7 linked regions of the Xenopus tropicalis genome follow. The protein of the gene in region 4 interacts with the protein of the main gene of each other region in a biochemical or structural test. Links are inferred from orthologs where the notes say so. Each region holds a gene or a part of one and is shown on either strand. Other genes may lie near its edges.

Region 1 (4,277 bases), on a different chromosome or scaffold from region 4:
GATGCCGATCGGGGAGGCCCGTCGTTGGTGCCGCAGATAAGCTACCAAATCGGTCTCAAGAACCAATATCGGATAATTATATCTATATATATAATTGGGTTATGTAATAAAAAGACACTACGTTTGCCCAGGTCTAGTAACCTAATGCAACAAGTCAGCAGAAAGAATTTACAGGATACCTGTTTACAGACATCTTATTGGTTGCTATGGATTACTGCACCACGGCAACCTTAGTGCCTTTTATTACATATGGAGCAAAGTGTCAAAGTATAATAAATGCCTCTTTGCAGATTTATATTAACAAAGAAACATGCATTTTTATTAAATTTAAAAAAATGGCAGAATTTTAGTTTCATCTTAAGCTCTATTTATTTTGCTTGGATATATATATTATCCCTTTAAATTGTAATCTGCCAAGTGACCCATGTTAGAATACAAGGCCAATAATCTGTCTACACAGTTAAAGGAAATGCAAATCTTTAAAAAGGGGGAAAAATGACTAACTGCTTGGATAACGTTACACCAAAAGGTTAACTTCCCCTTTATTTTCAAAAACATTACCATGAGACATATTCTGTTGTACAACTCAAGGCGCAGAGTTTGCCAACACTGGCTATTTTAAAGTAACATATGGCAATAATAGGTATAAAAACGATACAATGTGGTAGGATGCACTCCCAGGTGCCTGAACATGAGAATAACCGAGCAAGCTGAATGTGCATGAGTGCTGCCCAGGCCAGCACTGAATTTGTTGCCAAGCCGTCTCTGTGTACAAGAATGAATCAGCCGCTGATGTGATACTTGAGGAGAGGCAGTGGGAAACTGCACCCTCTGAGCTAGTTAACCCTTTACCTGCGAGAAGAGAAGGTCACCTTCAGCAGATGGATGGATAGTGGAAAAAGCTGAACAACAATGTGCATGAAGGCTGCTAGGAGGAAACCCTGCCTTTTTGCATACAATATCAGTGTGACCTGCTCCCCCACTTTGGGGCCAGATTGCTTTCCTGTGATAGCAATGATATGGTAAATAGAGCTGCAATAAACAGGGGTTAAAGGCAGTGCACACTGACCACAGTTGCAGCAGCTGGATTTCCCTATGCATTCCTGGCATTCCTAATCCAACGTACCCACCTGCCTAGTCATCTGCTGGGAACAGCACCAGGTCTATCCCTCTCGGCACTGCAAGGATGGCTACGCCGACACTCGAAGCTCTGTATGCAGAACCAGCAGCATGAGCATCCCTGCAGTTGCCCGTGTAAGTCAAACCGCATTTAGTACGGCACTTAGATCCCCCACATAATATTATACAGCAACAGCTAAAATACAATTATTTCTATAGTGATCCAAAGAGACCCATATCCTACAGAGACACAGAACCTTTCATTACTCTGAAAGAGTCTGCATAAATCCCCTCTTAATGTAGTACAAGCTCTATGGTACAGTCTTCATTTAAAGCCAGAAGTATAATAATCAAATAAAGGATGGGAAACCGACAGCCCTCCAATACACAGGGAATGCTGGAAGTGTTAGATCAACAAGTGAGGTCCCAAACATTGGGGCTCCTTGGCTGACCAAGATGGAAACAATATATCAGAATATTAGAAACCAACCCACAAATCCACCAAAGGTCAAAAGTAAAGTTGCAATGTGTGCCGAGTCTGCTCATGTCTAACCTCAGGGCTTGTTCACACTTGCGATTCTGCCATTGTTATTCTGTTGCAGTTTTATTACAGACTATTAGGTTGCTCACTGGCCAAATGCTTTAAGTCTCTTGCCCAAGGGCAAGTGAAGTGCTATAAAATATCACAAATTGTCACTATAGAGAAGGAACCCCTCGGCGTGTACTGCCTGTTGCACTAACTCTATTATGTGTCTCATAAAGAGAGAAGGCAAGTACACAAGGCACAAACCCACATACAGTACAGTTACAGCAAAATACAATGCCAAGCAATAGACACACTGTTGTTCCTCATGTACGCGGATGACTTGTCACTTTAAGAACCACATGAGCTTGCAATCATAGGCAACAGGAAGGATAGCAACATGACTGGTATCAGTTACTACATTCCCTCCAGCCCATACAATACAGACAGTATTAGTTGCAGAGGCAAAAGCAGGAAGCATTAAGTTGCATGTTCAGTAAGTAATTCAAAGGCTTTCAAAAGATTGCAAGCTCACTTGGCACCAACATATGACTCGGCATACAAGGCTAGGGCATGGGAGGGAAGTCTAGATGCCCATGTGGTGCATATAAGAGCATGACTGCCATCAGATAATGCCAGGGAGCTGGGTGTCCATGAACAAAAGAGAGTGCTAGGGAACTGCATCCTTTTCATTACAGTAATAGGGTGTAAGGTAGTGGGGGTGCAGGGTGCCCATTCCACAGGGGCAGTTTGGCATTGGCTGAAAATAAAATAGAAATGTAGAGATAGGAGGATGCTGGGTGCCAATGCAAAAGGCTGGATGGGAAAATCAAGCAATATGGGATGTTGGAAGTGTAGACTAGAACATATCAGGGATCATCCACCTATTAATGAACTACAACTCCCAGAATGCCCTGACAGCGCCCGGAAGAGCCACAGGTGGGAGATGCCGGAGTGCATGGCCAGGTGGGAAGTTGATGCAGAGCGGCTCTTTACTCCATTAGCAGGAATGCGTCTAAACTTGCCCCCACCCAACACCAAGCAGCTTGGGGTCCCGACTCCGGGACGTATCATGCGAGCACCGCCAGTGGTCCCGTAGCAAAACGCACTTACCTGCCGGCTCAAGCCTCCCCGAGGGTCCGTCCGCCTCATGAGGGACTGCACGGTCCCGTTCCCAAGGCGCAGTATAACTCCCAGACGTGCTGTCCCCTACCCGGTCTCCATGGCGCGGTGCCCGAACCCTGCCGCCCTCTCCCCAGCACACCGAGCCAGCGCCGGGCTCCGGGGCTTTCCGCGTCACAGCGCAATCTCGCTTCGATTGGCCGACCGAGGCCCCGCCCATCTTACCTATTGACCTGCCCCTGGGTTCCAAATTCACCAATCGCTCGCTGGCCTGCCGTTGCCTTGGTTACCGATGCTGTTGACTGAAAGGGGCGTGGAAGGTTTTGGTCAGTCACGATACTCTGCTCGGGATGTACCATTAATGCGGGAAAGGAGGGCTGGAATTATTATCGGCACAGAACGATCTGAAGGTGAGATGCTGGCAACATTGTGCTTTTACATTGTCACTTAATCCACATCCCCAACTCCCTCCGTCCTAGTAATAGTCTCCATTTATTAAACCGGCAGCTCTCTATTTCTTATGGAACTACAACTTCCAGCATCCTTTGCCCGGGGTGGCCCTTTCAGTTTCACTGGGTAAAATTCGGATTCTCAGCTAATTTTTGTTAGTATAAGAGAAAAAAATGTGTTTTTTATACAGTTTACTTTTATTTGTATAGATATTTCCCCTAATGAAATGGTTAAAAACATTTTGAGAATTTTCAGTCATTATCATCCTATGAAGACTTATTCTGACATAACAAAAATGTGAAAATTGAATTGTTTTGAATGCTGGAAACTCAGGACAGCTCTGATAAAGGGTTTTTATGGTTTCCGCCACCAAATAAGTTTTACTGCTTTAGGGCTCTGGTACACGGGGAGATTAGTCGCCCGCGACAAATCTCCCTTGTTGCGGGTGACTAATCTCCCTTGTTGCGGGTGACTAATCTCCCTTGTTGCGGGTGACTAATCTCCCTTGTTGCGGGTGACTAATCTCCCTTGTTGCGGGTGACTAATCTCCCTTGTTGCGGGTGACTAATCTCCCTTGTTGCGGGTGACTAATCTCCCTTGTTGCGGGTGACTAATCTCCCCGATATGACATCCCACCGGTGAAAAAGTAAATTGCCGGTGGGATGGCATACGCGGCGGTGCGATCTCCGAAGTTGCCTCTCGAGGCAACTTCAGCGATTTCCGCAAATCGCGCCGTCACCCATAATAGCGAAGAACTATCGTGAGCGACTAAACCGCTCTGTGGGTTCTTACCCTTAGGCTACTGCAGGAGATGCCTTTCCACCGACAACAAAAGGAGTCGCTGGTGTAAAGGCCGATGCATCGCTTCAGCTTTCCGAAGTCGCGCAGAGTTGCCTGAAGGAGGAAACTTCACGCAACTTCGTAATACCAAAGACACGCAAAGAGCTTTCGGAGTGTTTAGGCGCCCGCTATAGCAGAGATCTATCATAGGCGACTAAACCAAACTCATATTTTCATAAATAGGAAAAATATTCACATACAATTTGTATTTAAATTTGCACGG
Region 2 (4,213 bases), on a different chromosome or scaffold from region 4:
CTGCATTGCATACTCTAGGTGAGGCCTTATTGTGGATCTGTAAAGAGGAAAATTATATTTTCATACGTTCTCAATATTAGTCAAATTAGACCAGCTCCTGTGCAGTGTTTGTTCCTATCAATGCCTAAATCACATGGGGCATAGTGGGCTGAATCTGTGTTCTCTTTTGCAGCTATGGTTGCCGCCCAGATGATATCTGCATAATTTAGCAAACTGGATTTTCAAATAAATGATCTATCTATTTTGAGACATTCATTCAAAAGCATTCTGGGTTTTCCTGCCCACTAACTGCCTGTAATTAATGACCTCGCCCACCTACTACTTTAAAGCCTATTACTGAATCTGTGATTTAATTAAAGATCAGTAAGAATCTTAGATCCATTCTGCCTCTATACTACAAAACATGCCACTACTTCTAGCAGTATAAAAAACATAATCCTACAGTGCAATAACCATTTTTGCACATTTATGCTGCTTTTCTGTGGTTACCTAGGCATGACACCTGAACTGCAGGAGGCATTGTGGCAGCTAAATAAACATAATTTCAAAATATCATATAAACAGTTTAATTTAATACATATAAAATGATCTGCAAATTTAACAATTTATTATTAAATTAATAAAGTGAACCCAACTTATAGAACAGGGGGCTCAAACTCAATTTACCTGGGGGCCGCAGGAGGCAAAGTCAGGATGAGGCTGGGCCGCATAAGGGATTTCACAAAAAATTGACTTTCAAGGGATAATGCAAGGCACGGCGGGCGGGAGCTGCTGATTGCGGAAATGACGTTATGCCATCATAACAGTTATTATGGGAAGACGTTCTGTGTGCACAATTAGCTCCTTAGCAGCTAATTGTGCACACAGAACGTCTTCCCATAATAACTGTTATGATGGCATAACGTCATTTCCGCAATCAGCAGCTCCCGCCCGCCGTGCCTTGCATTATCCCTTGAATCGCAATACAAATCGCGATCCATTCATTGCTTTTGAGAAGGCGTTGGTGCGGGCCACAAAATATTGTACCGAGGGCCGCAAATGGCCCGCGGGCCGCGAGTTTGAGACCCCTGTTATAGAAAGACCAGTTCTCCCATCATTTGGTTCCAAGGAAATCAGAAACAAATGAATAACAGGTAGAACTGCATTGCTATTTGATGAAAAAAAATGCAAGATGTGATCCAAAACTATTCTTATTTTAATTGCACAGAAAACAGTTATTCCAGGCTTTCACTAAAGGAGGTGAATACTGAGCAACAGTTTCTGTGCATTTGCCAAGATGCAGAAAAGTTGCAGACTTCTAAGTTAACATCACAGTTAACAGATTGCATGAGCATACAATATAAATAGTACATCCTCTACATTATAACTGGGTGTATTCTGTGATTGTTTTGTTTTGTGAATATCCATTGCGATACAACACTGGGTCTAAACAGCATTTGTCACCATGCAACCAAGCAACAACTAAAATGAATACAGAAAATTAAGATCTCAAATATGTAGCCATAAAGGTAAAAAAAAACTATAGAGACAAACCTACAATAACACAAATGGATACTACCTGATTTTTTAATTTCTGTATTTGTTGCTGCTATATACATTACCATCAACACAAGGTATCTGAAATGTAAGCTCTAAGCATGACTGCAAAACCATAAAAGGTTAAAGTAAACAGTTTAATACCACTTAAACCCTCCAAAAAAAACATCAGAAAAAGGCAGGACATTTATAATAATTAGTACATTTTCAATCTATTAAAAGACCAATTAACAGTTAAATGTAGCATTGTGCACTGTCAGCAAACAGTATATTTAAGAATAAAGTTAAATATCACATTTCATGCAAGCACAAAGTCACATTGTACAAAATAGCTGTTTTTTCTTCCATACCCTCACAAAACAAACACCTATACACTGAACCTTTAATATTCAACCATCCCAAATCTTTCATCCATTCATTCACTTAATCTTTTCTGTCGCACTTAGCACACTACAATCAGAGAGATATCCAAAATAGAGGCACATTTCCCTCGTAAATTACCCTTGCAAAACAAATGATTATCTTAATACCTTTGCCAATTATTACAGGCGGCACTGCAAAACTACACATATGGTGGTGCGTAAAACAACACTAGCAAACGCTACAGCAACGGGAGCTCCCAGCATAGTGAGTTACACTCAGCAGACGAATACGAAAGCATCTACATTTTATAGGGAGGGTGTATGCCCTAGGAAAAACTCAGCATCCAGACATGTTGATTCCGTGTCTTGTATCTGGCGGAGTAAAACGCACACACGTACTATACATTAACATGGCAGACAGTTAACTCCTTTTTGGAGCTACTCTCGTCTAAATGCATATTCTCCCCCATGTCTACGTACATTCACGTATAATACACGGTAACGCGTATGGGCAACAGGCAAGTATAAATAGGAGACCCGAGTATACTGCGTGTTCCTATGTGCGCGCGTCCGTGAAGTCACATATATGCACACCCTGTTATTACTCACCGTAACAGCCCCGGAGCGGTGTGGGCGCACCCTATGAAGCGGTTTTGATACCAGGGTGCCTGTTGCGTGGCTGAGTGCCAACAGCTCGTTTGGGCTTTTTGAGAGGCACAGAACCGGCTACTCACCCAACGGGTAACAACAGCTACGGCTTCACCTCAAACTAATCCAGACACAACCCAACCCGTGGGCGGAGTAAGGGAGGGATAACTGGCGGTTTAGGGACAGCTTCGGTTTAAGGAAGCATTTTTCCTTTACTGATGAGTCCGCCCTATTCTTGATTTAAGGTGGAACTACACAGTCAGCCAGGGTTACATGCTGGCTTTGCTTAACTGAGGAACTGTGTTTGTGACGATAGCACGTTAGTTGTCGGTGTAATCGTAAGAGTTGTGTACTAGTCACCATGTTTTGTAATTAGTACTCTGTTTATTTTTGCATATTGGCCGTTTTTTCGCGTGACGTGAACACTTGTATACTATGAAATTTAGCCGCTAAGGGCGTGAATAGAAGTGTGTCCAAAGGGCGGGGAATAGTCACGTGACGTGTACATCATGTTGGAACTTGGAGTAGAAAATGCAACATGAATTGTTCAGCTATTCAGGCCGGTGAAAGCGGGCACATTTTTAAATGCGTTAGATACATACTGGTGTTTATGCAGCAGCTATTTGCAGTCAAAAATAGAATATGCTCAGCCTGTGTCTGGAAATGTATGTTCAAACGCAGCAGCTCAGGCTGCTAACAATTAGCAGTCAGGGGGTCAGTGATTGGATTAACATTTGGTGCAACAGGTTCATTGGGATCCAACCATTTTGCAGGGGTGGTTGCATACACAGTATGCAAAAAAAACCTTAGGAATACTAGATATTTTTCATCCCTGTCTTGGACAATTACACATTGCAAACAGATTTAAAAAAAAAAAAAAATCAATTGGCAAAAATCATATTTTACTTTCATTATTGCCAATAGATTAGCCACATTAGGGCCACCTAGAACGCTATATTTATTCTGCAGAAAGCTTTACCATACCTGAGTAAACAGCCCTAGAAGCTCCCTCTAAGAAAAAAATTAGAAAACTTCGAATTTTAGTAAATCTGCCTCCACATGTATCCTTAATATATAAATTCAATAATCTCACCATAAACACCAAAATATTATACCTATATAGGCAGTTTATGGTCAGAAAACTTACCGCTGAAATGATAGTCTTGCCCGATGGATTAATCAGTCCTTCTGGAGGTGGTAAAATGTGGGAACCCTCAGATGGTCGATTATAAAAAAAAAAAAAACTTCAATTCACTTTGTCTTAATACTCTTGTGTGTAATACCAATATCCAGTAGCGCATTTAGTTTCCTCAAATATTTCTTTTGGGGTCAGCTCTGAACTACTTGTACGTTTCTTTATCATGCAACAAATCATTAGGCTCTAGATCATTGTTGGTACTGGGCATGATAATAATTTGCACTTATAATTGTTTTAGGATTATTCCTCAATGCCTTTAAGGCTCTCTCTCACCACCTCCCCCCCCCCTCCTTGTTAAAAGGAAATGTATTTTGGCATTTACTGCCAATAGATTAGCCACATTAGTGCCACCTAGAACGCTATATTTATTCGGCAGAAAGCTTATTCATACGTGAGTAATCAGCCCTAGATGCTCCCTCTCTTTTTTTTTTTTTTAATATAGCAGCTGCCATTATAGCTCTGTCTCAGT
Region 3 (4,433 bases), on a different chromosome or scaffold from region 4:
TATTGGACAAAGGCCCGCCCCAGTAGTGATGTGTGGGCCGGCCTGAAACACCCCTGGTGGGTTGGGGCTGACACTTGCACACTATTGGCGGGTCGACGGTGAGTTTGGACTCAGCTTTCCCTTTTGCCCTCCCTGCCCACAATCTTCTGCACCTGGAAGCCTCTATTTATGCCCACGGCCCTTGGCCCATCCACAAAATGTCGACCCACACATCACTACCCCCCAGTATGGCCCCCTGCCAGAAGATGTGCTGTGCGCTTGCTCTCACCTTCAGGTCTTGGTGGGTACGGGTGGTGACTCCGGCAGGGGGGTGAATTTAGGGGGCCCTACTGGGGGGGCAGGCCCAGATGCAATCACAACTGCTGCTCCCTCAGCAGTTACGCTGGCAGCTGGTAGGTTTGGAGTTTTAACAGCTATGTAGTTGCTAGGGCTTAAATACCCTAGTAACCAGGCAAATGTTAGGAAGCAAAGGTCCCTATACACGTTAAGATTCACCAAGCGAGTGGATCTTCCCCCGATATCCGATAAGCTGTCGAATCGGTCCAAGGGACCCATATCGGCAGCTACAATCGGCCTGTGTATGGGGACGTTTAGACTGGAAGATAATTAGTAGAGTGCCTGAAATCAGATATAAGCAATAAAAAACAACCATAAAAGGAAAACCTTACAATCTGTTTTTTGGTTGCCAGGGTCCGTTACCCCAAAGCAACCATGTAGCATTTTTAGACCAATGTGCAGTAGTGTGCATGCATATACAAAGCGGGGACCAGCTTATACAACATATTGAGGTGTAGAAAAACTTAAGGGGTAATTTATGTATCTCCTGGGCAGAAGTGCAAGAGCACTAAGGGGGGCAAAAGTGTGACCCTTTCTGTGCACCCACACACACAAATAGGGAGTTAGAGGGAATGCTGAGCCCTGACCCAGCTCCTGCTGATCCAATACACCAGAACCCCCTTCCCTTCTCCTAATATACAGGTACCAGCAACCCTTACTTTCTAATAAACCAACATCAGCACCGGTACCTTCAGGCATCAGCACGTGAGCTCTTACTATAGTGTCAGAACACACACCTCTGGGCTCGTAACATACACAATTGCCCTGAGCATCTCCCAACATGTTCATCACAATCCTCGACCTTCAGTAAAAAAATGTCTTCTGGTGCCCAAAAGCATTTGGTGGGTCCAAAAAATTAGTAAACTGTGCTTTTAGATTCTTTGCACTATATTGTGTGTGTTCTGGCTTCCAAATTTGTGTGCACAGCTTAGAGGGGACACTCTTTGGGGGGGCAATAGGTATTCTACCTCAATGGCTTTCAGGCTGGGCCCCTTCCAACACTTGCTCTGAGCCCACAGTTTGGTTGGGGGGGGGGGACACAGTAGTTGGCAGCCGCCATCAAGGTGAATTACTGTGCTTGGGAATGGCACATGGGGTGATTGCAAATGTATTGCTGCCCCTGAGATTTCCAGCAATTGCCCTTCCGTTGCCCGGAATAATAACTGCCCTTGGACCCCACTCGCAGGTCAGACAGTTATCACTTGGAATTGCTCAGTTGGCATTTCTGAGCAATAATTGTCTGATTTTGGGGCAGGTTTCAGAAGACCATCCAGGTCAATGGAGAGGCAATTATGTGTGTTTTGGGGGGAGAGCTTGCAATCACCCCTTGTGCCATTGCCCAGAGATGCAACTGAATGGTACCCTGTATACTATACCCCTTACCAAGCTATCTAGCAGGTTCTTTACCCAGAGTTGCTTTTGGTTATAGCAGGGGTCCCCAAACTTTCTTACTCGGGAGCCACAGTCACATGTAAAAAGACTTGGGGGGCAACACAAGCACCATAAAAGTTTATGGAGGTGCCAAATAAGGGCTGTGATTGGCTATTAGGGGCCTCTATGCACCCTATCAGCTTACAGGGGCTTTATTTGGTAGTAAATCTTGTTTTTATTCAACCAACTTTGGAATTCAAAAATAACTCCCTGGTTTGGGGGCACTGAGAGCAACACCCAAGGGGTTGGGGAGCAACATGTTGCCCCGAGAGATCACTGGGTTATAGTGATATATAATATAGGTTTATTATAGTACAGAAAGCATCACAGGTAGGAAAACACTGTACTTTGCAGAAACAAAAGTCACTGTTTTACCCTACAGAGCAGAGCAAACAGGGGGCACAATGTGCCCACCCATCCGGTAAAGGTACCCATACACGGGCCGATATGGGTCCCTTGGACCGATTTGGCAGCTTATTGGCCCGTGTAGGGGTAGAAACGATGGCCATGCCTGACCGATATCTAGCCAAGCCAAGCGAGCGGATCTTAAAGTGTATGGCCACCTTAACACCAATCTTCTAGAGATAACCCCAATGAAATCCTTCTATGCAGTTGGTCAAGGGCAATTAGCATCTCTGTCGCACTAATCATTTTTCACACTGGGCCATTAAGGCTATAGAGCACCTTTATTTAATTCTAGTCTCATTAATATTGCTGAGGTTCCAATGGCTGCGTATACAGGAATGCTTTACCTGCGTCCCCTACTGTTGCACCCGAATACTTGCGTCAGTTGTAGCGCAACCAAAGCTGGAGTGACTCAGATTGGACTGAAATCGCAGCCGATGAACTCCCTACTATATAAAGGTCACCCCCGATTCCCTCCAAACTCTTCCCCGGACGCGCTGTAAGTACATGGGCAGAACCTTACGCTGCGACCCGCACCCTCCTTACCTTCCTCGGCGGCGCGTCCCCTCAGTAGGAGCAGCAGGGCGCAGAGCCCCCAGAGCCATGGCCGTAACCCCATAGTGTCAGTGCCCCCGCAGTGCCATGCCAGCCCCCCTGCTGCCAGCCGGCCCCCCTGCCTGATTCTCTGCTCCGGGAAAGAAGTTCTCAGTTGCCTGTGTAGCTGCCCCGCTTCATTCCTACACAGGCACTTCCTGCAGGGAGGGGGCACAGGGGAGGGAGAGGCGGAGGGCTGGACACAGACACTTATAGGAGTGGCACTCACTTCTACTCCCTGCTCTCTCTGCTTAACTCACCCCTGTGGGGCTCAAACGTCTCTAGATGGTAAGCTCTTGGGCTCACAGCTGCTAAATCTACCCTCCCCCCCACTTCCCTAGAATATAGTCATACCCCCTAGGCTGTAGGCTCCTAGCATTCCTGGCAAGTAGTGACTGGCAGCTCTGGATAAGCAATAGATGCCCACCTACACAATTCCTTATTCACACTCACCTACATACCTTGGTCTTTTTTTTTATTGAAACCCATGTATGTATTAGGGTGAAGACACACTGAGCTACTAGTAGCAGCTACTTTTTCACAGCTACTAAACCCCAGAAAATCCCCTGCCATAGACAATACTGAGAATTGCCTCTGCTAAACACACATAGAGACAACTATCAGTAAATGATCAGCATTGTCTATTTTAGTAGCCACGACAAGTAGCTGCTACTAGTATCTCTGTGTGTCTTCACCCTTATAAATAACCTAGTGCAAAAAAGTGCATGGTGCACAAGTGCAAATGTGCAATGAAAAGGAAGAGCCCAAAACCTGACCAACCGGCCAGAATTTTCAGGTTCTTGCCTTTTGTCCAAGGACTAGAGAGAACCCCTTTATCTCTGACCCCCCAAGCTAGAAGGCCGGCAGGGGCGAGGGTCTTCAGGTTCCCTTCACAGCAGGGCTAGGGTTACCCCTTTATCCTCACCCTCCATCCAGAAAGCCTATAAGGCAGTGCTGGGCCCATTCATACCTGCTTGTCAGCGCCACCCCCTCTAGCCTAGGGCAGCAAACATGGTGGAGAATAGATCCCCAGGAGCTACAAATTAGGGGTCCCCTTTCCATTGCACCCTAGGCACATGCCTGTTCTGCCTACCCCTAGTTGAGGCCCTGCTATAAGAGCTCCATTGACCCCCAAGAGAATCTTCAGTCTTGTATGTTTATGGTGGGGCCAGGTTTTAAGGGAAAGGAGCCGAATGGCCACACATTATCCCCCTCAAGCCAGCGTGCAGATCCATAAGTGTATATTGCGCTAGATTGTAAAAAATGGATAGATCCAGATCGTAGGTTGCACTAGATCATAGAAGAAAAAACACAAAAATAAAAGCTCAGTAACAAAACAAATGTCTCAATATTGGCCGGATTTTAAAAAATTTCCTTGCCATTGGCCAAAAGGCTGGGGCATAAAAGTGAAAGCAAGTAAAGTGCACTATGTGCAGGGGAAATGTTGCTCACCCTGAGGTGGGCTTTTCCATGCTGCCCCCTTGCTTCCCGTGCTTTGGTGCAGGTGGGGGGGTTGCATTACTAGTGCAGTGGTCACAATAGCACTGTCTGTATTAGAAGAGCTGAAATTCCAACTGAAAAATCAGAATTTTGGCTCTTTAAGTGTTTTTTTTCCACCCCCGGTAACTTGTTGGGTGCCGCTGCCTGAGGAGAGTTTCTCCCTTTAT
Region 4 (4,228 bases):
CCCTTGCAGTCAAATTGAAAAAGTTGTATTGTGCTGCTGTCAGTGGAGCACTCGGCTGGCCGATTAGGAGAGCCAGTTTAGATCTGCATGCCTTCCAATGAACAAAGAGCTCCACTGTGTGTAAGAACAAGGCAGAAAAAAAATGAAATCCCATAGCAATCTGCCCTGCCCCCCACCTCATACACCCACACACACCCCTTCTGAAGATAAAGTTAATGGAAACTTTTTCAAACACGCAAGAAATATGTAAAGTTTAAAACTATTTAAAATGTTTGTCAAGGCCCTGATCTGGGCAGTGGGGTTAATGTAACGAAGGCCATTGAAGTAACACAGGAAAGAAAAGAGCAGGCCTCCAACTAACACTCAATTTTTATAGCTGTAAAACCACACCAAACGTTGCCTTGTATTCTCGCAAAGCTTCGCTTTACGTAACTGTGTCATTTAATATTTCCTACAAATAGAACGGTAAGGAAAACAGAGCATGACATGGACACTCTGCATTATTTATTTAAAATATGTATTCTTTTTAGTGTAATCATTTTAAAGAAGCAGCTGCAGGTCATTTCAACTACAGGTATGGGACCGGTTATCCAGAATGCTCGGGACCTTGGACTTTTCAGATAAGGGGTCTTTCTGTAATTTGGATTGCCATATGTTAATTTTGCTAAAAAAATCATTTAAACATTAAACTGAATAGGGTACTGGTTTATTATTGCAGAGAAAAAGGAAATCATTTTCAAAAACTAGAATTATTTGATTAAAATGGAGTCTATGGGAGATGGCCTTCCCGTAATTTAAAGCTTTTGGGTAACAGGTTTCCAGGATCCCATACCTGGATCAAATCCCATGTGCCAGGTCAGTCACAGACAGGTAGATGGCACAAATATTAATACATTAATAAAGCTGTAAAGTTAATAATAAAATATCTGTTATTTGATTTACCATCAGGCTCAAACATTGTATTCTACTTCTCTTAGTCTTGTCATTTTCTGCATTGGTAGAAAGTCAACTTAAGCAAAAGAGCTTGAGCTCCATTAGAAATTCTTGTAAAGATGCAAAGCAAGTTCTGGTCATTGTTGCATTTACAGAACTGCTAGGCAACGACTCCAATCAGTGTGGACCCCCCCCCCACACTACATGCAGACAGGGCCTGCTGAGCAGAACCACCAGAGTAAAACTGAGTTTATAGCAGACATGTGTGTAACCTGGGAACTCACTGTTGAAGACAGAAGCTGCAATTTTATAACAGCTGAATGGGAAACATATCATTTACATGCATGTCCAACCTGGGGCCCTCCAACTATTATGCATACCATGACAGTCAAACACTACTGTAGTACGAGGATGGAGGGGCTCAAACATTATATCCCTGATCTAAAATAGCCAAGACTTCGAAACTGTGGGCCTGAACAAGGCAGTAACTGGGGGGGGGTGATTTAGCAGGTAGACTACAGAGGGGAAATATGCTTTTTTATATACTCCTAGAATTCCCGGAATGACGGTTAACAGGGTAAGATTTTTGTGGCAAACACTCAAGGAGCTATGCCATCTGTAACAGAGTTACAAGCGGAGGAGGGCCCCAACCAAATGTTCAACATGAATGGGGGTTCTGAAGTCTGAAAACCGTAAGGCCTAAGGGATTTCTACCTTGCCAATCAGCTGACAACATATTCTTCAACCGTCTTGACCTGGCAAGGAATACTGTAAGTTCAAATAACAGCTGGAAGGCCAGACATCAGACATTTGCATTCTAGATTGTAAGCTCTCGGATTTCAGTTTCTCTTTGTATGCTTCATGTCCGTGTAGAACTTGAATAGCATCTGTAATATACTAATAATCACCCTGGAAAACAGCACTTATTTATAAACAGCCCCAACAGCAACAATAGAAGCATCTGGTTGCAGCACAGAGAGGGAGAGCAGTCTGCCCGACAACTCAGACAGCTGCAACATGCTGCTGGACCATTTTGTGCAGCAGAGAACTTCTTATATCAACTGTGGTGATGTTTAGAGATCAGACAACATCTCGGTCCATTTAAAACCAGCAGCATCCTTCTGCCCCAGACTAAAGCATGTTTCTGCCCAGAACCAACCACCTGCTAACTTGCCCTGAGTTTTACTGCTGAAGCCCCCCAGTCCTTGGCCAAAACACAAAGCAGCCTCATCCAACTCTCCCCCCCTGTCTCCCCTGTAAAAGCCATAGCATTACCTTATTAGAGTTTGCTAGATATTTCAGTGTAATGTTCCACTTCCTCCTGCATTGAGTTTATTGTAAATCCAACAAGCTTTTCTCTTCTCAGAATCCAGAAAGGTGTAATAATCCCACAAACGTATAGAATTTTCCGCAGAGAGAGAGAGAGATGGCCAGAGAACAACAAACCCGAAGGCCGGGAGAGAGGATCACAAAGGGGCTGTAGAAGTTCCAAACCGAATGAGCTCAAGTTCGTTTCCCTCCAATGCTTTCACCGTTCCTTAATCCTGGGAGGGGGCTGGAAACATCCCAATTAGAGAGAAGCAAAGGACAATTCTTTACCAGGGACGGGATTCCAGGTCCACGTTTCGGGGAGTAGAGAGAGAGTGGGGGTCAGGGGAATAAACAGGCAAGGGGAGGGGGGTGTAGGAAGAGAGAGAGCCGTGTAGGGACAGGGGTCCCGCTGCATTCACTGCTCCTCCTAGTGACACCCGTACGAGTCATGAAGGGTGAGCCGGAGTGTAGGGTATATTGTGCCACTATGGGAGCCGCACCCTCAGCGCACTCACACACACAGCCCGGCCAAGCAGCACTCTCTCCTCCCCAGTACTGCTCGCAGCCGCACACACTCTCCCCTCCCCCTCTGTCTCCAGTCTCTCCTCCCCCCTCTCATAAGGGCAGTCTCTTTGCTACTCTCACTTCCTGAGGCGTCTCGTTTCTCCTCTATGTGGCCCCTGCTTAGGCTCTCTCTTCATTTTACCCCCATCATGTAACATATTTCTAATGAAAAGGTGCAGTAAAGCTGCTGCCCCCCCAGATGTGTTTCAATCACAACCCCTTAACCCGCACTAGGAACCTTTGTGGGTATTTTAGTTCTGCAACAGTTGAAGGGGGGAAACGAAATCCTATTTTTAAAATGCTTATTCCATCTTTTATTTGATTGTCAGCTTGTAGGACAAGATGTAATGAGACTCAGGGACAAGTGTTACTGTACAGGACCCTAGGTGTATGTAGATTGGATCCATTACTTAGTGTTTAATCCTTAGGGTTAATTTGTGATGCTATTAGCCCATTCAAATAGGGTGCTGACCCAGTGCCCCAAGCTATCAGTGACTGGTCCACAGAGGCATTTACATGAGTGTGTGTGCCAGTCACTGTTATCCTAAGTAACAGATTTGTTAGGGGCTCATCACCTTGAAAGTGTCATGGAGTATCCAAGGCTATTGGCTACAGGTGCCCAGATTTAAGTGACCACCACAATTTGTTTAACCTTTTTACTTGTGTTCTGTACCCAAGGGTCATGGCAATATAAGTATTATACAGTCAGTGCCTCTACATACATAGCCTTTAGGCAGTCATATACAACCGGACCTTGTACAGTATGTGACCAATCAGCTTGCAGGTGCAATACAAGGTTATTATTATTACTATTATTAATATTAACACATATTTATACATCACCAACATATTTTGCAGGACTGTACAATAAATGGGTGTATGCACTGAACATACAGATTACATACAAATAATTAACTGGTAACCGATACAAGAGGTAAAAAGGGTCTGCCCAAAAGAGCTTACAGTCAGTTTCATACATTGTCGAGGCTGAACAACGGGAACAGCAGAAAGTGAAGACACTTCCATACAATGGAAAACGTGGTGCATCAGCAGATTAGGTTTTTAAAGGAGAATGAAAGTTACAATAACTGGGGGATGCCAAATGTTAGCTTCCATACATGTACCAAAAATCAAAGATTTTATTGTCATTTGTCAGGCCACCCTAAGCCTTAGCCACTAGGAAGGAATGCACTAAATCAGGAGAGCTACTCAAGTAGTGGTAAACTGATCAGTGTCCATACACTTACTATGGCATGTCAGAGTCGACATAAGAACCAAACGTGTCCAAATACAGTGGATAAGAAATACTGTAGAATAAAAGGGGTAAATAACCCCTTAATTTGTTTTATTGTGTCCATTATGGACAATATTTATATTTTATTAACTTCAGTTGTACTTTAGGTCAGAATATATGGTTCGT
Region 5 (3,005 bases), on a different chromosome or scaffold from region 4:
CAGAAAAGAGGAAGACACGAATAATTACAAATTGGTTTCATCCCAAGAAGGATCGTTCATGTTCTTTAGGACTTTTCTTATAAGTTTTTCAAGCTCCTTGCGAGCTCTTTGTTCTTCTTCCAGAGATTTCTTCATCTTTTTACTATCCTAATGATGAAAGAAACAAACACAATCAGAAATATGACAATGCTTTTGAAGGTACAGATTATATACACTTATTTATACTTTTTTAACAATATTCTGCATTTATTTTTAGTCTGTTAAGAGGATACAAGTCAACAGATTCAATCTGAAATAAAATGCATTTTATGGTTTTAATCTAAAAAACTGTACTGTAGGCTCTAAAATTGAACCTGCAGGTAAGCTTCTTCTCTTTAGTTAAAACCTTAAGGGCAAGTAAACCAAGTAAGGTAATTTCAATGAAAGCATCCTAGCATTAAATTCAGCTAAAGACCAAACTGAATGCTAACCCCAATCTGTGCATTCAAGCTTCAGCAAAATGAAAACTTTCATTCTGTGAAAGAAAACTGGGGTCTTTGGTTGTCTAGGGGTTGAATGTTTGATTTGGTTTCGCTACACATTAAAAAGGATTAAGTTACAGTATAGCAACATGTTGCTCAACACCCCCTTTGATGGTGCTCCCAGTGGCCTCAAAGTAGGTGCCCATTTTTAATTCTTTGGCTTGGAGGCAAGTTTTGGAAGCAAAGAGACACAGTATTACTCCAAGCAGAAGCTCTGCAGTCCATCAGTCCACATGGGGCTACCAAATAGCCAATTACAGCCCTTATTTGGCACCCTTAAGGAACTTTTTCATGCTTGTGTGGCTCACCAACACTTTTGAATAAAAAATGTTGGGGATCTCTTTATTTAGGGCATCTCTAGCTGCTGAATCCTGCTGAAAAAGGAAAAATCTTGGCCAAATCCCAAACCGAATCCTGGATTTGGGGCATCCCTAGTAACAACCAAGCTTACATTAAATTTGTATAAATGATGATTACAAGTGCATTTATTTTAATGAAAGGCAATAATACAACTGCCTCCTACTCCTTCAGCCAGTAAATGGCAGGCACTCAATTCTGTAGCCAGAAAGAACATGCTAGGAAAAAGGATTTGAATATGTATTTTCCACACTGGAACAAATCATTTCAGTGCAGAAGATAAATTGTGTAATCCCAAATTGCCTAGTTAATAAACCTTCGCGGGCAACACTAGTGCAGTATAATTTAATTAGGTTTTCTACATCATCATTTGTAAAATCTGAACATAAATCTGTGACTTTAATCACAGCAACAGGGCCACAAAGGTGGACAAGCTCAGTGGCCTTCACTTGCTTACTTACTAAGGGATATTGTTATGCACGGTTATTCAGTAAATATTTTACTTGCTAAATAATTCATGGGAAAATTTTGAAACTGATAAAACATGAAATTATAGGCTGAACAAAAACAACAACAAATTGAAAACTAAAACACAAACCTGTTTTAGTTCCTGAACTTCATCTTTTAATGCATAAACTGTATCAACAAGACTCCTAAAATGTTAGAGGGAAAAATTGGTCAAAAAAATAAGATTCTTAAAAACTGTGGGATCTTACTGAAAAAGTACATTTCATATTATATTTCATATTACATTTCATATTACAACAGAAAAAACAAAAAAATATTGCTGGCCAGGACAAGGACAGTGTGAATTTGCTGGCACTATATCAAGCCCTCGTCACTAAAAACCATGTGACTTTTCTAAGATGTAAGTCATTCAATGAAATGGTGAACCTTGTATTTCACAATCTGTGATCTGTACTGTAGAATAAGTTACAATAAAATGTCAGGTAGTATGGATGACATTCTACCACATAAGACAATACCAATATAAGACTATATTAAATTCATTACTCACTTTTCTTCTATAACTGTCTGTCCATTGCTCCTGGTTTCTTCTACTATAATTTTCTCCTCTTCAGGGAGCAATACTTGAGGAGTTGATCCTTTGCGGCAGCCTAATAGGGAACAAAAGGTAAAACAGATGAATATAAAACAGAAGCTGGCACTTTTTCTGTACTATTAACCACATTGTTAAGTCTTAACCTCCTGAGCATTCTGCAGTCAATCTTTATTGAGTCTGATCCCTTTGGTTTCGTTCCCTAATTCTCACAGTGACTGCCACCTGTAGAGTGCAGAGCTCTCTCACCTACTGTCTGCATTATCAATCTGCATATTTTTATTAGTATTTGGCAATTAAAGTTCCTGAGCTTCAAAATAATATTGTATACATACACAGTACTTGGTGGGTTTTTAAAATATTTGTAGTCAACTTAAAATTGGTCTAAGCTAAATGGATTTTAACCTTTAGTACAGCTTGAATACAGAACTAACTGGTTTTAACATACCTGAAAAAGTTTTTCCATGCCACAAAGATAAGAACCACAAATTACACAGCTCATTACAACATCAATGAAGTATTACATATTCAGAACTTACCTAACATAGGCATTTATATAAAAAAGAAATAAATTAAAAAAATGCATTATTACAAATAGCACATTTGTTAAACCAGATCTTAAAATAAAGAATACATTTGAACAAAGCATTATTACAAATGGCGTCAAAAATCAGGTCAAAAGTTATAATGTTACACAGATGTATACATAAAACATCAAACAAAAACACAGAACAAATTTTGCTTTTACTACTAAATAGGTTTCCTTTTAGTCCAAGTTGTTTACATTATGGTCAGGGTTTAAAGTGGATACCAAAACATTTAAAGGACAATGTTTTCTGCACCCACATCTGTACTAATGACTATAATCACATTATAGAAATAATTTTATATGATTACATTCTAAATAAAATGGTGCTGTAAACACCAGCCATGGGCACTGGACTTTTGCCTAGAAAATTTGACTTGCACACTCTGTACTCCGTGTAACATGCTAAAAGAATATAGAAGCATTTTTTGCAATTCTGGTGGAAGTACATTTCCAGAAAGCATTGGATAAGGAAGAAACA
Region 6 (4,224 bases), on a different chromosome or scaffold from region 4:
GCTAATCTCAGAGATTTGTTAGATTCTTCTCTAAACGTTATGTACTAAAGCATTAAAGAAAGCCATTTTCTTTTCACTACTGCATCAACCAAAATCAAGGGCTTCATAGCACATGTAATATGAATCCAAGGACAGGACAATTATATAGATATGTTAAGTTATGTATTTCCATATGGAGACAGAAATGGAGAAGAGAAAAGATGATCAATAAAGGGCAAGTGAACTTTTAATTTACAACTGTACTATTATGCTAATATTAATAACAGTATTGAAAATTATATTACTGTTTTCTTCTGAGCACAGCTGTAGTCAAAACACTCCACATGTACAGTTTATTTGCATTATATATTTATACCATTTTACAGTGTATATACACTGTAAGTGCACACACAACTATGAAATATTGAATAAATTATCTACTGAAAAGCTTTTAAATCCTGAAGTGAAATCCAAGGGCAGATACGGGAAAAATCGTAAGAGAAATTAGAGTCTCGTGCCAACCTTTGTTCTGTTACTGTATGTCAATGCATCACACGGCTGCTTGCCAACTTTACTCAAAACTTTGCACCTTCTTAGGATCACTGAAAAATCTAACCAAGGCATGTATTACCTCTGACTAATAATTTTGTATATAACTTATATTATTTTGGGAAGTCAAATTAAATAGCAGAAATTGGTGCAAAGATTGCAAACTGTAACTGAAATATACACAGAATTATATTACAATGGTACTAAACAGACTCTTAGTTACAGTTACCTTTTGTGTGGTTTGCATAAGTGTTAAAAAAAAAAAAACAATCAACCGGTAATAATGACCTCTAATGTAGTAAATATTCTGTTAAAGGGATTCTGTCATGATTTTAGGTATACTTTTTATTTCTAAATTACACTGTTTACATTACAAAAAATTCACTCTACCATTTAAAATTTTATTCTTGAACCAACAAATGTATTTTTTTTGTAGATGTAATATTGGTGTGTAGGCGCCATCTCATGAGGCTGATTGTGAGCTTTCAGAACGAGCCAGCGCTACACATTAAAACTTCTTTCAGGTAACCCATTGTTTCTCATGTTCAGTGTAACTGGAGGAGTCCCAAGCCGGACTTTGATTTTTTACTATTGAGTGCTATTCTACCACTTTTAGCAATACAGGTATCAGGGAGCTGCTATCTTGCTCCCTTCCCATTGTTCTGTTGATCGGCTGCTGGGGGAGAAAGGGAGGGGGGTGATGTAACTCCAACTTGCAGCGCAGCAATAAAGAGTGACTAAAGTATATCAGAGCACAGGTCACATGGCTGTGGTACCCTGAGAAAAGAAGGATATGGCTAGCCGCTAGACCCATGTGATATTTCAAAATAAAATTCTGCTGGAAAGGCTCTATTATCTGATTAACCTAGCAAGTGGCCCACACTGAGTTTCAGGGATGCTGAGGTTCCTTACAGGCAGTTTGTGCATACTTATTAAACACCCTGTAGCCAGAGGAGCTTCTTGTTATTTGTTGCTGTTTACAACAGCAGAAACGACGCAGGGGGGGGGGCTATATATGTACCACAAAGGTACCACAACTTCCTGGAAAGGAAGAACACTATGACCACAAAAGTCACCAGAGGGAAAGGGTCCCTGACTATTCTTTGGGAGTTAATGCAAGCAAGTTGAATGGCGCAGTATTCTGAAGTGAATAAATAATTTTATTTTCTGCACCTTCATATATATATATATCTTTATCAGACCCCTGCCAGGCACTTATTTCTTTGACATACTTTTCCTGCAGTTCCGGAGGTTCCCATAACACATGGTCCATAATGATTTGTAAATGTCTATGTTTTAATTCACACTAAAGCCCACAACATGTATATGACACTGGCAATAGTTCGTAGACCTATAGAACTTGGACTATGTATACAAATGAGTAAGAGGACAGTGTTATTACTGGTGGTACTTGGGGCAATGCAGGGCTGCCCAAACATCACAGAGCAAGCCCTCCAGATGAACAGCATTAGGGGACCTGCCAAGGGACATGTAGAGCTGTGGTTGTCATACACGGTATTCCAGGGGGGATCAAGAGCACACAATCAATTACCCCCCCACACCCCAGACTTCCCTAACTCATAATGAATACTGGGCCAATGAGGCCAATTTTAAAAAACATCTTGCCTTAATATACAGTTACATTTGAAACAAATGAATAAATCTGCAGTGTTCTTGGAGCTATAGCCCAAACTGCACAACTATTCATGTTGAATAGCGCTGCTCTGTGCCCCTCAAGTCTCAGTGCCCATTACTAGAGACCCTGCATTACATTCCTATTAAGGTACATGACATTGGCTCTACTACTATTCTATGTATCCGGGTGAAAGATGGTGGGGTGGGGGGGGAGCAGCAGACGCACATCAGTAAGTACCACATGGCACGGAGCCAAAGGCAGACATAAAGGCAATTAAAAGGTGAGAGAATGTGCAAAGGTTACTGAAGTAGTTCACGAAGGGCACGAAACAAAGTGCACCGAGCATGCAGGTCCTGACTGCTTATCTAATATTATATATAGTTCAAGTAACTAGCCACATGACAGACAGAGCGACATAAAGATCCCTGTGTGTGTGGCATTAGCAACAGGAAAGCAGCGCTTACCAGAAGAAGATCTTGGAGCAAAAGTTGGCATGCTGCGAGGGGTTCGCTTTACTTCCCTTTGGCACCGGCTGCATTCTCTTTGCTTCAGAGTATTCAGCTACACATGGGGGGAGCCGGGCACACAACCGAAACCACACACTCGATGACAGCCCCCCGCACGGTATGTCCCACCGCACACTTCCACTGCCCCAGCACTCAGCAACAGCAGCAGCGCACGGCTTTACCGCGTAGCTCCGCCTATCATCGTATGCTGGACATCTGATTGGCTGCTGGCTCTTTATTACCCCACATGCAGTCGAGCTGCTTCGCGTCAGAGGCGATTAAGTCGGAGGCGGGGCGGCCTTTGTTTAGATTAAGGTTGGTAGTCATGTGGGCCTGGGCGCAAGTTTGCACAGTTGCTGATTGTAGAAGGTGACTCTCCAGCTTACAACTGGGAGCAACAGAAAAATGGGTAGGTTGTATTCATACGTGGTTAGGCAGCACTTTTGTAATGAATGAGTGGAAATCAGAGTAACCTGTGTGCCATTAAAAGGGTGCCAGGCATTTCGGACTAGAAGACATTTGTGTGGGCTTCTAAACTCTATTGGGCAGTGGCAGGCTGGGAGATTAGTCGCACCGCAACATTGTTTCTGCGGGCATATAATGCCGTACCACCGGCAAGAATGTGAATTGCCAGTAGGGTGGCACACGTGTTGCTACAATTTCCCCAAGTTTCCTCTCAAGGAAACATTCTTGCCAGTGGAATGGCATTGGGGGGAGATTAGTCGCCTGTGGTAAGGAAGATTCATAGTGGTGCAACTAATCTCCCTGTGTGTCACTGCCCTAAAGGTGGCCATACATGGGCCGATTTCATCTGCTGATTTAAGTCCTTCATACCATTTTGGCAGCTTATCTGCCTGTAAATGGGCACTCCCAACAGGCCTCCCTAACAGATATCTGGTCTAGAATTGGGCAGATCTCGATTGAGTGGGTTTGATTTTCCTGTCGAATCGGGGATCACATCGGCTTCTTGATGCGCTCCAAAGGCACCTATGCCCGCCATTGGAATTTGATCATTTGTCTGATCGAATTAGCCTAATACTACCCTCCCTTTAGTATACTAATAAATATATGTTGGTATAGAGAGCTGCAAAGATTACTGTAAAGGGGCACCTCCCCAAATGCTGTTTATATATAAATACAGGCCTGGCTTGAATCTCTCGTGGGACATCTGACCAGAGTAAACGGAACCATTATAAGCAGGGCCGGAACTAGGGGTAGTCAGAAGAGGCAGCTGCCTAGGGCGCAACGATTGAGGGGTGCCAGGCAGCCTCTCCTGCCTACCCCTAGTTCTACTTTGTCATTGCCTCCACCGCTAATGCTTAGCGGTGGAGGCAATGACTGATCATCGCACTGCCCCCTGCACCTCCTCCTGTGCTTTGGCGCGCATGCGCCATTGGGGGGGCGGGGAGGTGGGCGGAGTTGGCTGACCGGGTTGCCTAGGGCACCCGGTCGGCTTGGCCCGCACCTGATTATAAGGAAGATTCTGTCAGACACCAACCTACAGGTCACACACCATTCAACTTCAATAAAATATATGTTTTATTATTGAAAGAA
Region 7 (3,757 bases), on a different chromosome or scaffold from region 4:
TGACAGGATTACTAAGCTACTTGAGTTGCTTCCTCTTAATGTCCTGTTTTAGCCTTAAAGGAATTCTGGAGGAAATAGCATTGGGCCTATATTTGTACGTGACAAACAGCATGTGCTTTGGAGCTGTGTTATTGGCATGGAACACGTTTGAAAACAACAACAAATAAGCCCCATTCTTCCTGTAGTTCTGGTTTATAAAAACGGGGGCAGAAGAGGCACAGTGTGTGATTAAAGCTTGAACATTTGGTCCAATTATCTTTGGCAATACTTTATAAATAGCAGCCTCTTAAGACTTTATATTGCATGAAATTACTGTGAGTTTGTAGAGATCAGATTCATACAAGCTACAGCTTTTTTGGCTTGGCTGTTCCATGTCTCTAGTCAGTGTTTCCATGTAGGCCATGCTTCCAATAATGGCAACTCAACGTCTTGCTAGGCCATACCCTAAAGAGCCACATTCAAACTGAAAAAGTGTTGGGGAGCAACACAAGCATAAGAAAGTTTCCTGGGGGTGCCAATAAGAGCTATAATTGGCTACTTAATAGCCCCTATGTGGACTGGCAGCCTACAGAAGGCTCTGTTTGGCATTATACTTGGCTTTTATGCAACCATAACTTGCCTCCAAGCCAGAAATTCAAGAATGAGCATCTGCTTTGAGGCCTCTGGGAGCAACATCCAAGGGGTTGGGGAGCAACAAGATTGACTGGAGAGTTTTGGAAAGGGAAAAAGTGGATAATGGGAGAGTGGAAGGCATGATGTATCTCTATGCAATATATGTATGCAGCATTAAAAAGCCTTTTTTTAAAGTAAAGAGCAGGTGTGCAATATGAAGATCATTATATAGTCTAAGAAGAATTATCGAAGAGTGAAACAAAATGGTAGATCCTCCAGCAAAGTATGATAAGCCAGATATTGGACTAACAAGTGAATGCCTGAGCTGTACTGATCTCTGGGGCATCTACCCAATGATCAGATCATGGTTTGTGTTGGAAATTTGGCTATCAGTGTGTAGGTAAACTTGGCCAACCTTTGTTTTGGTTGTCAGATGTAGAGAAATAAACACTGCTTCTAATTGGAAATTTATGTTGGAAATTTGGCTACCAGTGTGGAGGTAAATTTGGCCAACCCTCTTTTTGGTTGTCGGATGTAAAGAAATAAACACTGCTTCTAATTTCGCCACATACTTCTGTAACACAAAGACCCTTTGCCATACTTACAAAATAAACTTTTGAGATACATGTGTCCGCTTGCACTTGACATAATCTGTGGGCTGTTAACATTCAGCTGACTAATGCTTGCCAAAAGCACGCCAACTGTCCTTGAGCATGATAATGTCATTATTGTCACAGAAGTTGCTAACTGGGAATGTCAAAAGTGCTTAATTTAGTAGGCTATGAGCACAATCATTTCCTTTAATGAAATATAGGAGAAAGCAATATTTAGTGACTGCCACAACTGTTGCACCTTGTAGAATCCCTACCTTAACTACACATGCTCAGCATACAGGGTGCGAGTTTGTGTGCAACTGGATTCATTATCTACTAGGGTGAATACTTATTTGCTTTTATATTAATTATTTAGAGACAGGTAGCTCAATGACTAATGCATTCCATCCTAAAAGTGTCAAAGCTGGCCATTCACGTTCAGATTTTAGTCTTTTTCCAACAAACGTTCGGATATCGGTCGTATGCTTAAATGCAAAGATCTAAAACTACCTTTCAGACTGAAATTGTAGGATAAAAATAACAAATCGAAAGGATGTTCTCAATATGAAATAGTTGGCACCAATCGTACGAAATTGACTTCCATTGTAGGTCCCCCAAGGATATCATCAGATACACAACATATGCGCAGATTTTCTAACCTTGTCGATCGACTAAACGACTGATCGCCATAGTGCAAAAATAATAATTCTGAGCCCACACACAGTCTGAAAATTGAACAAAACTAAATTTTGCATGATTTTATCGGTACGTGTATGGCCAGCTTTAGTCATTCTAAATGACCATGGTCAACACATTAGAGACCTCTACAGTCAGACAGGCCTGGGGCCAGATATTGTCCCATTTCTGGTTTGAGTAAGGGGTGATGTGGAGATTTGAAAATCCAACTTACCACCAGGTTACCAATCACCATGACCATCATGAACACGACCAGGCACATTGCTTGCCCTGCCACTTCCATGCAGTCCCACATTGTCTCTATCCACTCCCCGCACAGGATACGGAAGACAATGAGAAAAGAGTGGAAGAAATCGTGCATGTGCCACCGTGGTAGCTCGCAGTCAGAGGCAATCTTGCACACACATTCCTTGTAGCTCTTCCCAAATAGCTGCATCCCCACCACCGCAAAGATGAAGACAATGATGGCCAACACCAAGGTGAGGTTTCCAAGTGCTCCGACCGAGTTACCGATGATTTTGATAAGCATGTTAAGGGTTGGCCATGATTTGGCTAGCTTGAACACCCTGAGCTTGAAACATTAAAATACTTGATATTAGTCAGAGAGAATAGAAAGAACAGTAACTAGTACAGGTATCGGACCCCTTATCCGGAAACCCGTTATCCAGAAAGCTCCGAATTACGGAAAGCCCGTCTCCCATAGACTCCATTTTAATCACATAATTCAGAATTTTAAAACTGACTTTCTTTTTCTCTGTAATAATAAAACAGTACCTTGTAATTGATCCCAACTAAGATATAAATAATCCTTATTGGATGCAAAACAATCCTATTGGGGTTGATTAATGTTTTATTGATTTTTTAGCAGACTTAAGGTATGGAGATCCAAATTACGGAAAGACCCCTTATCCGGAATACCCTTGGTCCCGAGCATTCTGGATAATGGGTCCTATACCTGTAGTAGTGTTTTGTGAATAATCTTCCATGCAGTTACAACTGACCCACAGAATTCCAATGGGACAGCAATGCTATAGTCTAATATATATATATATATATATATATATATATATATTTTAAGCTTATATACATTCCCCATGGTGGGACCCAAAGCAGTTGATGGGATAGGCCCAACCTGAAGTCTACATTAGGGGAGATTTTAGCTGATGCTTATGATGAAGACAATGATGGCCAACACCAGGGTGAGGTTTTCATTTGCTCTGACCAAGTTACCGATGATTTTGATGAGCATGTTAAGGGTTGGCCATGATTTGGCTAGGTTGAACACCCTGGGCTTGAAACATTAAATACTTCATATTAGTCAGAGAGAATAGAAAGAACAGTCTATTACTAAACTAGTAGTACTATTTGTTGAATAAGCTCCCATGAAGTTATTTCTTATATCAGCCAGAGCTGGTGGTCCAGCTGGATTAAGCTAACATTTTGTGTATAAGAAGAAGACTGCATTGTCCCAGTCATGATATATGTGAATAGAAACAGATCATTGGATGAGAAGATAGAGGAGAACTCCTAGGGTATTCTATAATGGGAACACAGAACTATGGAAATTCAATGTTGTAGAAGGTTTTAGAGATGGGTAACAACACTTACTGATTACCGGCTTCATATACCACTTGGGTATTTCTGTGTATGCTTCCTTAGCAAACCATATATAAACCCCTTGTAAAAACAAATGCTGAAATTGCATAACCAAGATATGCGTGCTATCCTGAGACATAGGTTAGATTTCAAATCGTGATGTTGTGCGGACAGTTTGTTAAAACAGTTTTGCAAGCAGAAGTACACACAGTTTTACTGCATATTACATTTCTCTGAGAACAACTGGGTAAATTCTAAAA

Evidence for each region.
Region 1: the proteins of erbin (region 4) and pkp4 form a complex in vitro, tested with the Homo sapiens proteins (4 studies listed by BioGRID and IntAct, with this or other methods). The link is inferred for Xenopus tropicalis from reciprocal best matches to the Homo sapiens genes ERBIN and PKP4.
Region 2: the proteins of erbin (region 4) and plasma membrane calcium-transporting ATPase 4 interact in a test that uses a peptide from one of them, tested with the Homo sapiens proteins (2 studies listed by BioGRID and IntAct). The link is inferred for Xenopus tropicalis from reciprocal best matches to the Homo sapiens genes ERBIN and ATP2B4.
Region 3: the proteins of erbin (region 4) and erbb2 form a complex in vitro, tested with the Homo sapiens proteins (4 studies listed by BioGRID and IntAct, with this or other methods). The link is inferred for Xenopus tropicalis from reciprocal best matches to the Homo sapiens genes ERBIN and ERBB2.
Region 5: the proteins of erbin (region 4) and arhgef7 interact in a test that uses a peptide from one of them, tested with the Homo sapiens proteins (2 studies listed by BioGRID and IntAct). The link is inferred for Xenopus tropicalis from reciprocal best matches to the Homo sapiens genes ERBIN and ARHGEF7.
Region 6: the proteins of erbin (region 4) and abcc4 interact in a test that uses a peptide from one of them, tested with the Homo sapiens proteins (2 studies listed by BioGRID and IntAct). The link is inferred for Xenopus tropicalis from reciprocal best matches to the Homo sapiens genes ERBIN and ABCC4.
Region 7: the proteins of erbin (region 4) and scn4a interact in a test that uses a peptide from one of them, tested with the Homo sapiens proteins (2 studies listed by BioGRID and IntAct). The link is inferred for Xenopus tropicalis from reciprocal best matches to the Homo sapiens genes ERBIN and SCN4A.

The regions. Positions count from the first base shown.
Region 1 is NC_030685.2:73,687,444-73,691,720, forward strand, and holds the start of pkp4 (plakophilin-4), read right to left. Parts: upstream 2,937-4,277; 5' UTR 2,756-2,936; intron 1-2,755. UniProt on the Homo sapiens protein: Plays a role as a regulator of Rho activity during cytokinesis. May play a role in junctional plaques.
Region 2 is NC_030678.2:70,336,231-70,340,443, forward strand, and holds the start of plasma membrane calcium-transporting ATPase 4, read right to left. Parts: upstream 2,855-4,213; 5' UTR 2,508-2,854; intron 1-2,507. UniProt on the Homo sapiens protein: Calcium/calmodulin-regulated and magnesium-dependent enzyme that catalyzes the hydrolysis of ATP coupled with the transport of calcium out of the cell. By regulating sperm cell calcium homeostasis, may play a role in sperm motility.
Region 3 is NC_030686.2:9,878,517-9,882,949, forward strand, and holds the start of erbb2 (receptor tyrosine-protein kinase erbB-2), read right to left. Parts: upstream 2,948-4,433; 5' UTR 2,792-2,947; coding exon 2,719-2,791; intron 1-2,718. UniProt on the Homo sapiens protein: Protein tyrosine kinase that is part of several cell surface receptor complexes, but that apparently needs a coreceptor for ligand binding. Essential component of a neuregulin-receptor complex, although neuregulins do not interact with it alone.
Region 4 is NC_030677.2:187,603,681-187,607,908, forward strand, and holds the start of erbin (erbin), read right to left. Parts: upstream 2,859-4,228; 5' UTR 2,209-2,858; intron 1-2,208. UniProt on the Homo sapiens protein: Acts as an adapter for the receptor ERBB2, in epithelia. By binding the unphosphorylated 'Tyr-1248' of receptor ERBB2, it may contribute to stabilize this unphosphorylated state.
Region 5 is NC_030678.2:116,901,089-116,904,093, forward strand, and holds part of arhgef7 (rho guanine nucleotide exchange factor 7), read right to left. Parts: intron 1,997-3,005; coding exon 1,897-1,996; intron 1,532-1,896; coding exon 1,477-1,531; intron 148-1,476; coding exon 25-147; 3' UTR 1-24. UniProt on the Homo sapiens protein: Acts as a RAC1 guanine nucleotide exchange factor (GEF) and can induce membrane ruffling. Functions in cell migration, attachment and cell spreading. Promotes targeting of RAC1 to focal adhesions. May function as a positive regulator of apoptosis.
Region 6 is NC_030678.2:122,375,877-122,380,100, reverse strand, and holds the start of abcc4 (multidrug resistance-associated protein 4), read right to left. Parts: upstream 2,936-4,224; 5' UTR 2,703-2,935; coding exon 2,629-2,702; intron 1-2,628. UniProt on the Homo sapiens protein: ATP-dependent transporter of the ATP-binding cassette (ABC) family that actively extrudes physiological compounds and xenobiotics from cells.
Region 7 is NC_030686.2:15,628,200-15,631,956, forward strand, and holds part of scn4a (sodium channel protein type 4 subunit alpha), read right to left. Parts: intron 2,473-3,757; coding exon 2,116-2,472; intron 1-2,115. UniProt on the Homo sapiens protein: Pore-forming subunit of Nav1.4, a voltage-gated sodium (Nav) channel that directly mediates the depolarizing phase of action potentials in excitable membranes.